Linked DNA regions of Nothobranchius furzeri. The protein of the gene in region 1 purifies or fractionates together with the protein of each later gene. This does not show direct contact. Links are inferred from orthologs where the notes say so. Each region holds a gene or a part of one and is shown on either strand. Other genes may lie near its edges.

What was found. Proteins that work in one complex are often made in the same cells at the same time.
Region 2: the proteins of wasf2 (region 1) and cyfip2 purify together in Homo sapiens (co-immunoprecipitation; 3 studies listed by BioGRID and IntAct, with this or other methods). This does not show direct contact. The link is inferred for Nothobranchius furzeri from reciprocal best matches to the Homo sapiens genes WASF2 and CYFIP2.
Region 3: the proteins of wasf2 (region 1) and brk1 purify together in Homo sapiens (co-immunoprecipitation; 3 studies listed by BioGRID and IntAct, with this or other methods). This does not show direct contact. The link is inferred for Nothobranchius furzeri from reciprocal best matches to the Homo sapiens genes WASF2 and BRK1.

The regions. Positions count from the first base shown.
Region 1 is NC_091759.1:21,196,432-21,201,208, reverse strand, and holds part of wasf2 (actin-binding protein WASF2), read right to left. Parts: intron 4,230-4,777; coding exon 4,074-4,229; intron 2,202-4,073; coding exon 1,708-2,201; intron 621-1,707; coding exon 463-620; 3' UTR 1-462. UniProt on the Homo sapiens protein: Downstream effector molecule involved in the transmission of signals from tyrosine kinase receptors and small GTPases to the actin cytoskeleton. Promotes formation of actin filaments. Part of the WAVE complex that regulates lamellipodia formation.
Region 2 is NC_091742.1:50,767,920-50,773,201, reverse strand, and holds the start of cyfip2 (cytoplasmic FMR1-interacting protein 2), read left to right. Parts: upstream 1-1,753; 5' UTR 1,754-1,945; intron 1,946-5,282. UniProt on the Homo sapiens protein: Involved in T-cell adhesion and p53/TP53-dependent induction of apoptosis. Does not bind RNA. As component of the WAVE1 complex, required for BDNF-NTRK2 endocytic trafficking and signaling from early endosomes.
Region 3 is NC_091743.1:65,723,688-65,727,894, reverse strand, and holds brk1 (probable protein BRICK1), read left to right. Parts: upstream 1-1,812; 5' UTR 1,813-1,869; coding exon 1,870-1,987; intron 1,988-2,359; coding exon 2,360-2,442; intron 2,443-2,512; coding exon 2,513-2,539; 3' UTR 2,540-2,978; downstream 2,979-4,207. UniProt on the Homo sapiens protein: Involved in regulation of actin and microtubule organization. Part of a WAVE complex that activates the Arp2/3 complex. As component of the WAVE1 complex, required for BDNF-NTRK2 endocytic trafficking and signaling from early endosomes.

The DNA of each region.
Region 1 (4,777 bases):
CTGGCTTTCCTCGACAACGCCGACTCAATAACACAAGGATCCCTAATTTAATAGTTTGTTTACAAGCTGGAATAAGTCGCTAGTTCCCACGGTTGCCAGAGAAGACGAGATAAAAGGAAAGGTACCGCAGAAGGGATTAAATTATCTCAAAACATCATGTAAACTCAGAATCTGTTGCATAATCTCAAAGTTAACTCATATTAGTCAATAAAATCCTGATGAAGGTGGAGTTGATGTGTTTAAATCACAGAATACTGTTGGATCAACACAGAAACATCAAACCGGGACACAAGCAGCCGCCCTCGTTCACAAACTCCGGACTGGAAAACGTATCGGTGGAGGAATGTGATTTTTAAAACGCCACAGGATAAATCCTCTTTATAAAAAAACGTACTTGAAGACTGTAATGGGAATGCACAGATGTTGGTCAAGGCTAAGGTAAGATGGTGGCGGTGACGGCGATCAATCGGACCAGTCGTCGTCGCCGAACTCCGAAGAGTCGTCCTCGCTGTCGCTGCACTCCACGGCGATGCGACGGGACAAAATGGCGGCCACGTCGTTGCCGGTCGTGTCCCTCTTCTCCTGCTCTCGCTGCGCTTCCACCTTACGCAGATTAAAACCTACGTTAAAAGAAAAAGTGTGAAGTTAAAAAAGCCGTGGCTTGAGAGAAACGCCCTCTTCAGCAGAGCATGCTGAAAACGCGTCTAGAAGCACACACCTGGTTTATTTACTTCCTAACAGCTGCAACAGAAAAACAACATTTGTCTTTAATAATCAGAGTACAACATCCTGGTTGGTCTGCTGCAGCTGCTAGGAGCAGAGTGCTGCCCGTGTGGCAAGCTCTTACGTCATATAACGTACACGTTCAAACATTCTCCCTCTGTGACGCACCGAGCGGAGAAGTTCAATGTTAGAAGAGCTGCATGATATACGTGTGTGTTACGGTCACATCGCAGATCTCGCTACGATATCACAGGTTTAAGAACTCGACGCGTTCTGATCTGACGTGGATCACTGCGTGTCCTTCAATCAATCACAATCGTCCCTACTCAGTCAGCAGAATCCGACCACAAAGGGGTTAGTTGTGTGAGATTTTGTTGTTTTTTCTAACTCCCTCTTATTAAAACCTGGCCCAAAACTATACAGTGTTGTTGTTGGTGAACAAATAAATTAGGAGTGGGACTTGATTAAAAATTATTTTAAATATTCAGAGGCTTCGTAATTAATTAATCTTGATTAATCGATCAAGATAATTTTCCCCCCAAGCCATTTTTTTTAATTAAAAATGATGTTCGGAGTATATTTCTATAATTACAAGATCTATTTGATTACTATAGTCTCATTATAAAGAAAAACACTGTGGGATTTGTTGGGATGTGTAAATATTAGGTTATGTGTTACTGATGAAGTGTAAATAGACATGGAACATCGTGAATGCAGTGTACTGAACTGAGCACTAGGTGGCAGGAGAGCCCTGCTAATGAATATAGAGGTGTAGCGTAGAGTTCAGGGGAAGTTCTGATGAGAGATACAAGATAAATGCTTGTCTGTCTCGCTAGGCTCAGCTTCCGTTATCTTCTCTAATCATAATTAACGCATTAAATTTAAACCCCTAAAATTAATAAGTTGGTTTGTGTCTACTGGAGGTTTAATCATCTCCACTCAGTCAGCAGTGAGGGGCACTGCCTCCCTCTAGGTAGGTCTTACCGCTTCTGATGGCCTGCAGCAGGTCGCTACGAGAATCGCCAGCAGCAGCTGGCTGAGGTTTAGGAGCAGAGCTGGGAGCCACGCCTCCACCAGAGGAGGGGGGAGGAGGAGGAGCAGAGATTCCAACAGATGGAGGAGGAGGAGGCCCTGGGGGTGGAGGAGGTGGAGGAGGAGGTGGTGGACCTCCACCACCTGAAAGGACAGGTGGCGGGGGAGAAGAGATAAAGGACATATCGGGTGGGGGAGGAGGAACAGGGGGAGACGGATAAGAGTTGGTAGGAGCGAGTGGAGGAGGAGGAGGAGGGGGAGCATCAAAGCCAGGTGGAGGTGGGGGTGCATCAAAACCAGAGGGTGGCGGCGGGGGAGGAGGTGCAGGGGGAGGGGAGAGGCTTGGACGGAAGTTAGATACAGGAGAGGAGAGAGAAGGTGGAGCGGGAGGAGGGTGGGTGGGACTCATGCCGCTCCACCTCTGGGCCGGAGCTCCATCACCAAACCTGCAAGTAAAGATGAACAGAAGCGTTAATACAGAAGAAGCTTCTCCAACTACAGATGTTCCTCTGGAGATGTGTCGCCGCGTAGCCGTGTCCCAGAGTGGCCGAGTCCCAGAATGGCCGTGTCGCCGCATAGCCGTGTCTCAGAGTGGCTGCGTGTCCCAGAGTGGCCGAGTCGCCGCATAGCCGTGTCCCAGAGTGGCCGTGTCGCAGAGTAGCCGTGTCGCAGCGCAGTACGACTACGTAGCCATGTGACCGCACAGGCGTACGAACGCCTATACGTTACCACCGAGTGGACGTATGACCACCTAGACTAAAACCGTGCAGCTGTAGAACTGCCTAGACAAATAACTGTAAACACAGCCACCTAGATGTACGACCGCCTAGAGCAGGGGTCAGCCACCTTTGTGAGGCTGAGAGCCACTTCACGATTACCGAGTCACATGAAGGGCTACTGGGTTGACAAGGTTTTGTCACGTGCACAATACTGACCTTTGAACTAGAATAGATTTGAGTTTAACTACACTTCATGTATAATAAATATATTTTAAGGTTTTTTTTTTTACAATATATCGGTGCAACTGAGGTTAAAAAAGTCTATTTGGGCTTGTCCCTTCAGAAGTCACTACAGCCAATCATCTGTCTCCATTCAGTCAGGTCTTCTGCATCCTCTACCAACTAACTTCATGTCCTCTTTCAGCACATTCATAGATCTCCTGTCCTGACATGTCCAAACCATCTCAGTCTGTCCTCTCTGACTTTATCTCCAAAACATCTAACAGCTGTCCCTCTAATAGACTCGTTCCTGATCCTATCCATCCTCCTCACTCCCAAAGAGAACCTCAACATCTTGAGCTTTGGAACCTCCCGTTATGTTGTCCTCAAGGACCATCCGGCATGGCTTCTCTCACTTCTGTCTTCCACACATTTCCTTTCCTTTTTGCTGAAACCCTTTTTCCACACACATCTGACATTCACCGACTCCACCCTGCTTCACCCGCCTCTTCGCCTCTTTCCACCTTCTCTGTTGCTTTGGACCATAAACCCCAAGTCCATAAAGTCCTCCACCTTCTTTACTTCTACTCGCTGTAACATCACTGTTCCACTTCAACTGTCCCCTCTCATTTACACACATGGATGGTGTCTTCGTTCGTTCCTTTCTTCTCCAGTGCACATCTACACCTCTCTAGCTCTTCTTCTACCTGCACCATGCTCTCACAGCATATCACTGTCTGCAAACATCAAAGTCCATGAAGACTCCTGTGTAACATCTTCAGCTTGTCCATCACCAAAGCAAACAAGGGGCTCAGAGCAGATCCTTGATCCCATCTCACCTCCACCCTGAACTCCTCTGGAACTCCAGCTCTCACACACGTTCTTTACCACTCTAATACTTTTTGGTTACTCCAGACCTCCTCATGCATCTCAGCACCATCATAACCTTCTCTGTACTTCTCCTTTGGCATCTTTGAAGCTAAGGTAGCATCTGTAGAACACTCTTGGCATCCCACTGTTCTGCTGCTCACAAATGCTCACTTCTCAAGTCTAGCCTAGCTTCTACCACTCCTTCCCAGAGTTTCACTGTAGAACCCATTAGCTTTGTTCCTCTGCAGTTCCCACAATTCTGTAAGCCGTCCACGTTTATAATCACATAAAATGTGATTTTAAAAACAGCCACAGAAAATAATATTTTTACATTTTTCTGAACGGTAAATTGTGCTATTTTTAGAACAGGCCTGAGGGCACCAGGTCGGTGACCCCTGGCCTAGACGTACACGTACGATTGTCTAGACGTACAGTCGCTTGAACATATACGACCACGTACATGTGTGTTCGTGATTCGCTAGCAGGGCCAATCATGCTAACAGTACTTACGGTGCGTCTACGGGTGGAGGAGGCAGGAATTCTTCAGGACTGCCCGCAGGTGGAGGGGAGCCAGGCTCGTAGGCGTAGGAGTTCGTACTCTGATCAAGGGGATCAGAATTAAAACCTTCTCCTGATCCGATGCTGCCGTTCCGACCCTCAGAGTTCCTTAAAGCAGACAGAAGACATTAGCTTAATGATGAAATATCAACGCTGAGGTTTCATTTATTTAAAATAAACGAATGGGCGACGGCGGCACAGGAGTTAAGCGCTCGCCCCGTAATCGGAAGGTTGCAGGTTCAAGCCCCACTCAGCCTGTAGCTGTCGTTGTGTCCTTGGGCAAGACGCTTAACCCACCTAGCCTGCTGGTGGTGGTCAGAGGGACTGGTGGCGCCAGTGCTCGGCAGCCTCGCCTCCGTCAGCGCCCCAGGGCAGCTGTGGCTACATCGTAGCTCCTCACCACCAGGGTGTGGGTGTAAGAGTGAATGGGTGAGTGATTGTGTTGTGAAGCGCCTTGGGGGAGGGGGTTCCAGGGCCTCTTACCAAAATAAAAAGGCCCTAAAAACAGGTGGAAAGGTCAAACAACAGCAAACAGGAGAATATTTTAAATATTTTTATCGTAAAACTTGTTGAATGACTGAATTTAACCCTTTCAGGTCATCGGCTAAAATCAAATCAAACATAAGGGATGTTATGGTTGCAGTTGTTTACTGCAG
Region 2 (5,282 bases), on another chromosome or scaffold:
TCCCAGGCCAGGAATCGAACCCAGGACCTTCTTGCTGCAAGGCAACAGCTGTTTCTGCAATGCACCAAAATTACTTGCCCTTGGTTGTTTTTCCTATAAGTCCACAAACATTTAAAACACGTGTGTGTACACACACACACACACACACACACACACACACATATATATATATATATGTGTATATATATATATATATGTATATATGTATGTATGTATGTATGTATGTATGTATGTATGTATGTATATAAGTCTATTTATCAGACACAGGTGACATCAAGATTTATAGAATAAAATAGAACCATAAAATGATAAATTAATCATTTAGTTATTTTTACTCATTCCAGTTAAGTTGTGGTTTATTAATTTATGTATGTTAGGCTACTATAAAAGGAAATAGTTCAGGTTAATTATAAATTTTGAGTTCTATTTAATACAAGGAAAAGGCTGAACTAATTCAACACATTTGAGTTCTAAAATATTTGATTATTTTCAACATTTTGGGTTTACAGAGTGCAGAAAGATGAGGGCGCACAAAAAAATAAAAATAAAAAATACAACTGAACCAAAATATCACTGTCCCAAACATGCTGAGGCTATATAAAGCTTGAGGCACACCGTAGGCGGACGATCAGTGTTGCTCCTGCGATTTTGAGAACAAGATTTTGTCACACAGGAAATGCCACTGAGCACTTCTGGAAAGTCGTGCGATAGTCACAACATCACGCGGGACTTGAGAACAGGAAGCGGGAAGTGACTCTATTGTTTATACTTGATCAGACTTACCATAGCATTTTGTGAGACTCAAATTTTTTAAAAGTGGGAAAGTATACTATTTATTAAAATACATGAACATCAATAGTACTTTAAAGTTATCAAAAGTGCGGTTGGGTTTGTTCTGCGTCGTAATGTCTACTGTAAAGTACTCCACAATGTTGTAAAGCTGCGGTGGCGCTGCGCGGCTGCGCCTGAGATGAAACTGGTGCCTATCTTGTTTTATCTCCGGTTCTATTCTTCTTCAGCCAACACGTCGGACATGTTCAGAAGAAGAACCGGAGATAAAACAAGTTCTGGTTTGGAGCAAGAGTTTATAAAGAAGTTAGCGAGATCCAGCATTTATTTTGGTAACCAACTTCTGCTTATTGGCAAGCAAATTTGTACATTAGCTAAATGATTAAGTACCAGCTAAATATTTATTTTTCACAATGTTATTTAGCTCCACACTATATTTTATATTTTTTGAGTCAGACTTAAATATTTATTTCTCAAATACTGATTTTGCAAACTAAATGTTTAGCTCCAAAATAAATATTTAGCTGGGATCTAAATATTTATTTAGGAAAATAAATATTTAATTTACAAATCAAATATTTAGTTCCAAAATAAATATTGAATTAGTAAATTAAATATTTAGTTAGTGAATTAAATATTTATTTTACAAACTAAATATTTAGATCTGACCTAAATATTTAGTTTGCAAAATAAATATTTAACTACAAATTAAATATTTAGCTTGCTAACTAAATATTTATTTGGAAACTTTAACATTTATAAACATGGTGAAAATACGACTTCAAAAAAGTGAACTCCCAATTTTTTCTCTTATGATATGCTAAATAACCAAAAGTATTGCTGTTAGATTACGACTGTTTGACTTCACAAATGGCACCCCAAAGTACAAGTGCCTGAGTAAGCTGTAAAAACGAGAGGGATCAACATGTCGACGGCGCCGAGCTGCGACTGTCCCTTTAAGAAAATGCACTTGCAGCCATTTTCTGCTCTTTGTGTGGAGCGGATTAGCACAGGGCTGGTACCGAGCGAAACTAGAGCATCAGTCGGTACGGAACACCCAGAAAACACCCAGGAACCACCGGAGAGCTGTCGCAGGACCGCGACACCGGCCACCCGTCTGCTTGTCGCCGGACTCCGCGGGACATGCGATTTTCGGGTAGGTGGAAACATGGATGCAGAGGAAGGAGAGAGGCTGGGGGTGATGATGTGAGCTGGGTAGTGATGATGGCTGGAGAGCGACCGGGAGAGCTGCTGCCGCTTTTCTCTCCCTCCGTCTCGCGCTTTTACATCTTTCCCGTCACCTGTGTGTTTGTGCATGAACGAGATTCCGGATGAAAAGATGAGCGGATGAATGTGACTGATGAATGGGAGTCCCGTTCGCCTCCATCGGTGCCGTGGCTCAGATGGGTGGGGTGAGGCTTCCCGAGCAGCAAGTGCACCGAGGAGTGATGGAGCACGTACACGTACAGATAACGGTTTCCCGAGCCGGTAACGTCTTTTACACAGATAAGGTAAAATATACACCCGAGTGAGTTTATGTTTAGGACTCCGAGAGCTCGATCACACATTTTACTCCCCCCTCCCCCCCTTTATTCTGTATCTACGGTGAGAAATGCCCTTCTCCACCCTAGAACCCCCCCGTAGTTGATGCATCCGACCAGCAGGCCACACGGTCCAGACCCATCACGGCCATCGCACCAGCAGCCTTCGGGCCTGGGTGATCACCATCCCCGGTTCACACGCTTCCGTCTCTGCATTCACACCGCTGCACACCTCTTTCCTGAAATCCGCCTCTCATCATGTGCTGTCAGCAAGTTGTAAACATGCAGCGATGCAGATTTTCCATGTAGTGGTGGAGAAAACCATTTTAACTGATCTAAAGTGGTTGCACTGGTTCAGACAAGACTGGGACTGGTGGGTTGTGTTCACCATTAGAGGCGCCTCTGGTATCACTGCTTCATCACAAGACAAACTGTTTAAAAATCATTATTTTTTATTGAAGTTTAGGTTAAAAGCAACACACATGAATGGAGTTGCTGTTTTTTGTTTTGTTTTCTAGAGAAGATGTCTACTGTTTGACAAAAAAAAGTAATCCCGTTGATTAATTGGCACATTTACAGAACAAAAGAGAAAATAATCACATTTATCTTTGGCTTCTTGTCGAGCTCTAAGGCCCGGTTCACACAGGAGGGTTTAAAATTGTGGGGTGATTTTTAAAAACGTGAGAGACCCCACACGAGGTGATGAAAAATCACCAAACAGTTTTGGTCCTGCAGTCCAGCAACATGGCTAAAACTACACACCGATTAGATGAGAAGTCTTGCTAAACCTATCTGTGGTGGAGGAGGAGCATGCTTTTGATGGACTTTCAACATGAAGCATGTTTGTTTGTCTTCGATGTTGGGCCGAGCCCAGATTTAAGATCGAAGCAGTCCCGATGTCCTTCTGAGAAGACCAGAGTGGCTGTAGCACCCCACACATGGCCAGAATCAGAGGTTGACTAATATTGTTTTTTGTATTGCTGATACCAATGCTTTGGTGGACACCAGCAGTTAAGGATGCTGCCAAGCTGAAGAAAGAGTCCTGTCAGGTCTTTTTGGCTTGTGGGACTCCAGAGGCAGCTGACGGGTACCGGTGGTCCAAGCAGAACGCGGCTCGGGTGGTCGCCAAGGTAAAAACCCGGGCATGGGAGGAGTTCGGTGAGACCATGGAGCAAGACTTTCGTACGGCTTCAAGGAGATTCTGGTCCACCATCCAGCGCCTCGGGGAGAAAGCAGTGTGCTACCAACACTATCTATAGTGGGGACGGTGTGCTGCTGACCTCTACTCAGGACTTGTGGATCGGTGGGCAGAATACTTTGAAGACCTCCTCAATCCCACCGACACGTCTTCCAGTGAGGAAGCAGAGTCTGGGGACTTGGAGTTGGGCTCTCAAATCTCTGGTGCTGAGGTCATGGTCAGTCGATGGCCGATTTGTGCAGCCGAAATTTTGGGCAGATTTTAGTGATGCACCGATATGAAAATTTTGAGCAGATGTGATATGTGATATTAATTTCACTGTTATGGACGATAACCGATATTTGCCAATACTGATATATTGACATAACTGCTTCAAAAATCAGGAGATTCGGTGGAGAATGAAAATTATTAAAGCTGAATTTACATCATTATGTACAAACACCTCACACATTTACGCTTCTGAGATGATTATCATCAATGTCACATGACTAAACAAGTACACATCAACCTCTGAAACAGAGAAACAAAAGGAAATGATGGGAAAAATATTTGTTGTTAATATTGACCCAGTTTTATTTATCGGACTGATGCCTATATATGAAAAAAGGTCTAACTTCGGCTGATACCGATATTGATGCCGATATATCGTGCATCCCTTGCAGATTTTCATGGCCGATATTTATCAATCAATCAATCAAAGCTTTATTTATAAAGCGCCTTCCGCAACCCTGTCAGGAAGCCCAAAGACATTTACCACCTTATTTTGATGCCAAAATGTCACTAATAACATTAGTTCATGCACAGATTTTCTGAAGCTGGATCCATTTTTTGAACACTTAATTTAACCAGCTGTTAAATCTTTGTTTTGTGCACTGATCAGTGTTAAAATCAATAAGGTTGCACCAATATGACATTTTGGGCCGATACTGATATCCTAAACTAATATTGGCTGATTAACGATATGTGCCGTTTAGGGTTGTCATGGTGTGAAAATTTAACCTCACGGTTATTGTGACCAAAATTATCACTGTTTTCGGTATTATCGCGGTATATTTTTTTTAAACGTGTTACATTTTCAGACAAGTACATAAACCCTAGCCTAGTGAACTAGACCAAATTCTTGCTTTGCAAAGAATGGTCTAGGCATGCTCCATTGGAACCTCAGCAGCTCCTACCAGGACTCTGGCTAGCCAATCACAGCTCTCTAGAGGGGTTTCAAACACATAAAGAGCTGTGATTGGTCCACAATGGTGGACCAATCATAGTGCTCTATCTGCTTAGTGAACAAATCACAGAGCTTTATCTGCTTTGTGGGCCAATCAGGGCCCTCTATATGCCTGGTGGGTGGGATGATGCAACAGAGTGAAACAAGAGTATGTCACATTCATTGTCCAGTGGAATGTGGAGATCATTTGAAAGACAACGGTAGAACCTGCCCCACAACCGAGAGCCGTCAATGGAGCATGGCCAGACTAAATAATACATTTATTTAGTCTGGCTTGCCAGGCTACATAAACCCCATATATCAGGAAAATATTGTCCTCAGTTTGTGTCAAAATTTAGCCTAAAATTTGTTATTTTGTAATTATATTGTTTATTTGTTTACATGTTTCCCCTTTAGTCTTTAAAATACCAATATTTGTCCATAACTTCTTATTTTTTGTCTGTTTGATGTCATCATTTTAAAAATATTAGATCAGATGATACTCAGGACTCAAGTAGCCTTCTAATCAGATACTTTTTTTACCCTTACT
Region 3 (4,207 bases), on another chromosome or scaffold:
GAAGAGCGCGCGTACACACCTTCGTGCGATTTACAAGATATCGCAAACATGGCCCAAAACTTGAAAAAGTTTTACAACCTTACAGCTAATCTGCTGACTGGTGAAGCTTTTAATTTCTCCACACTTAAAGGGAAAGTCGTTCTCATTGAGAACGTGGCATCTCTCTGAGGAACAACAATCAGGGATTACACTCAGATGAACGAGCTTCATTCTCGCTATTCCGCAGAGGGACTCGTTATCCTGGGTGTGCCCTGCAATCAGTTTGGGCACCAGGTAAGTTCCAGTAGATATACGGAGAAACAAATAATGCACAGTACTTGTTTTTGTTACTTGTAGAAGGGTTAAGGAAAGTGAATTAGTAGAGTGGTTTAGAATCAAAGGTGCTTCCACATTTAAATTCATGCTACTTTAATGTATTTAAATATTTCGATTTGCACAATAGGAGAATGCCAAAAATGATGAGATCCTGAGATCCCTAAAGTATGTCCGCCCAGGGAATGGCTTTGAACCCAAGTTCCAGCTCCTGGAGAAGGTAGACGTCAATGGAAAAGCTGCTCATCCCTTGTTTGTGTACCTTAAGGAGACGCTCCCAACCCCCAGCGACAATGCCACGGCCCTCATGACCGATCCAAAGTTCATCATCTGGAGTCCTGTGTGCAGGACCGACATATCCTGGAATTTTGAGAAATTCCTGATCGGAGCTGATGGGGAGCCTTTCAAGCGCTACAGCAGAAACTTCCTCACCATAGATATTGAGGAAGATATTAAGGAGCTACTGAAAAGGAGGATCAAGTAAAATGTGCTACAACATTACTATTGCTGGCAGTGAAAGATATCTGTCGTGACCACACTGGCTTTGTAATGCTTATCTGTAGACCCAGGCGTTTCGGGTATTTCTTCTTGCTTTCCTGCTCACAGTTGAATTAATTGCCACAGTCCAAATATTGTGAAATTTTCAGTGGTATATACTTGGTTTTTCAACCCATTTACTTAATGATGAGGCTCCTGCAAACCTTTTTGTGTAGGGAGACTCTGATAAAGATGTAAATGTCTGTATTTACCCCTGACTGTACTGCAATTGGAATATTAGTTGAAAAAATGAAATAAACATCTTTTATCAAACACTTTTTAAAATTACATTTATAAAACGCACATATAAATCCTAGATTTTCTTTGGTGTCCGACAAATGTAGGCAACTATATCTTTATCTCATTTCAATTTTACTTTTTGGCATTTAAATAGAAGCATTTGCATTGAGGGTTTTTCTTTACATGATGCATCAAACCATAAAAACTACAGATTATTGAAAATTACTTCTGGAGAATAAAACATCTCCTATGATTGTTAGATTCAGAAGGTATTTTTAATGTTTCTTATTCTCACATTTATACAACGCTGCCACAAGGTGCTACCTTTAGGAGCCAATTGAGGTTCACTGGTCCCAAAACAAACCTGGGCTTATCACATGAGACACCTCAGCCACACGTTCGTAAAACCTTATGTGTGTTTGCATCATAGACAACAATGTGTAGTCTGTGGCGTATGCACATGTGCATAAAATAGTTAAATAACTTTAATAGATTAACTTTCTCAACTAGATTTTTTGTCTTTGTTTTTAGATGTTTTTTAAATATTTTTTCTGTCAAAACTATATATATATATGTATAAATTTCATTTTCTGGGTTTTTCTTTATATTCTAAATTTGAAAATTGACAAAATAATCTTCACTTTTACATACAGTGTTTGAACCGAGCGAAATAAAAAGCAATATTTTATTGATAATTATGAATCTCGCTAAATCTCGTGCCCAGTTTACGCCCGATGGCGCTTCCTGGATGAAAGCTTCTGCAACGACAAAACTGCTAACATGGCTGGCCAGGAAGACCCCGTTCAGAGGGAGATCCACCAAGACTGGGCGAATCGAGAGTACATAGAGGTCATAACAAGCAGCATCAAGAAAATCGCAGACTTTCTCAACTCGTTCGGTGAGCTTTTAGGAAAAGCTACAAAGGATTCGACCGCTGTGTTGTAGAAATATTTGAGCTGGAAGGTCGCGCTAGCTAGAGAAGCTAGCTGTCGGGCTGCTGCTAACACTGATGTTGATGTTTTTAAATGGCCACTCCCAGCTAGCTCGGACATTAGCACCGAGCTAATCGCTTTGTTTTAAAGGGTAATGATATTTCAAAGGAGAATTGCGTTTGCTTAGTTTATTATATTTATTAATTCAAGTGTCGAAGCTCTGCCACATCTTTAGGAACACAATAGCTACCAGTGAAGTTCATCTTCAATCAGTGCTCCCTACAGTTGTATCGTTGATATACCAAACTAACATTCAAAATAAATTTTAACCCAAACAGATATGTCTTGTCGGTCCCGCCTGGCCACTCTAAACGAGAAGTTGACAGCACTGGAAAGAAGGATCGAATATATAGAAGCAAGAGTAAGTAGAAGAATCACAGTTAGATGCATTGTTTTGAGTGATTTAATCAAGCAATTATATCTCTTTTCAGGTGACGAAAGGAGAAACCTTGACCTAGACTTCCATCATGAGGATCCTTAATATCTAACTACTTCCCCACCCTTTACCCTGAATTATTTTGGACTAAATGTGCTGGACTCCACTGTCCTGTTTTGGGGATTATGTGGACCATTTTTATATTATGTGACTGAGTTTTGTGTTTTTATCTCATGGCACATTTGTAAAATATATATAAAAACATGAAACAGATTCTGTATTAGTGGCACAAACACCATCATTAGATTTAAAATTGATCTCCATAAGTATTCAAAAGATATTCTGGGACTAAGTTGTGAATCTATTGTCAGCAGTATATATACAGTATGCCATTACTAAATCAGAGACATAAAGAGGGAACATTCATGTGTGCCAAGTTTAACATTGTCTAGTCTCCTTTATTTGCCTGTTTGGTAAGGTTTCAGACTTTAAATACTGAAATAAAAGCTATACGATGATAATACTTGATTTTCATCTTATTTTAAGTACTCCATTTGGTGTTTAAATTTAATTCAATGGCTAAGTGTGAACAAAAGCTACTAAAACATCTGTCAAGTAAACAAACATCAAAGATAGTTTGTTGCATAGATAAGTTAGATGCATTGGTTATGTGTATCGAAAAAGTCCACTTACATTAATGTGAACCAATATTAAGAAAAATAATTGAATATATCTATCCATTTTCATCCGGAGTCGGGTCGCGGGGGCAGTAGCCTAAGGCGAGAGGCCCAGACTTCCCTCTCCCCCAGCCAATTCGGCCAGCTCCTCCGGGGGAATTCCCAAGGCGTTTCCTGGCCAGGTGAGACATAGTCCCTCCAACGTGTTCTAGGTCTACCTTTAGGTCTCCTCCCGGTTGGACGTGCCCGGAAAACCTCAGCAGGGAGGCATCTTGACCAGATGCCCGAGCCACCTCAACTGGCTCCTCTCGATGTGGAGGAGCAGCGGGTATACTCAGAGCCCCTCCCGGATGACCAAGCTTCTCACCCTATCTCTAAGGGAGAGCCCAGCCACTTTGCGGAGAAAACTCATTTCAACCGCTTGTATCCGCGATCTTGTTCTTTCCGTCACTACCCAAAACTCATGACCATAGGTGAGGGTAGGAACGTAGATCATCTGGTAAATTGAGAGCTTTGCCTTCTGACAGCTCTCTCTTCACCACGACAGACCGGTACAACACTCGCATCACTGCAGATGCAGCACCAATCTGCCTATCTATCTCACACTCCAGTTTTCCCTCACTCGTGAACAAGACCATACACTTAAACTCCTCCATTTGGGGCAGGTCTCTCTCTCTCTCTCTCTCTCTCTCTCTCTCTCTCTCTCTCTCTCTCTCTCTCTCTCGACAGCTGTACATTTATGTGCGTTTAAGAGTAAATAAAGTAGTATTTATAGTATCTCATCGAAGTATGCTGTCTACCCTGTGTAAACTGACTGGGAACTATTTATTTGGTTAACCATAAACTATCGTGAAAACGTCGAGAAGTTAAAGACAAGTATCACCCAAAATTGCAAAATGGCGGATTTTGATAACTGGGTAAATTTTGCCCTGAAACTTACCGTTCAGGCATACTTCTGAAATTTCTTATCCAAGTTTAGATTAACATAAGGATAATTAATTAATGATATGCATAAAAACGTACTAAAATATTAATTTTACTCATGGCATAAATCATATCGAAGTCAACATCGA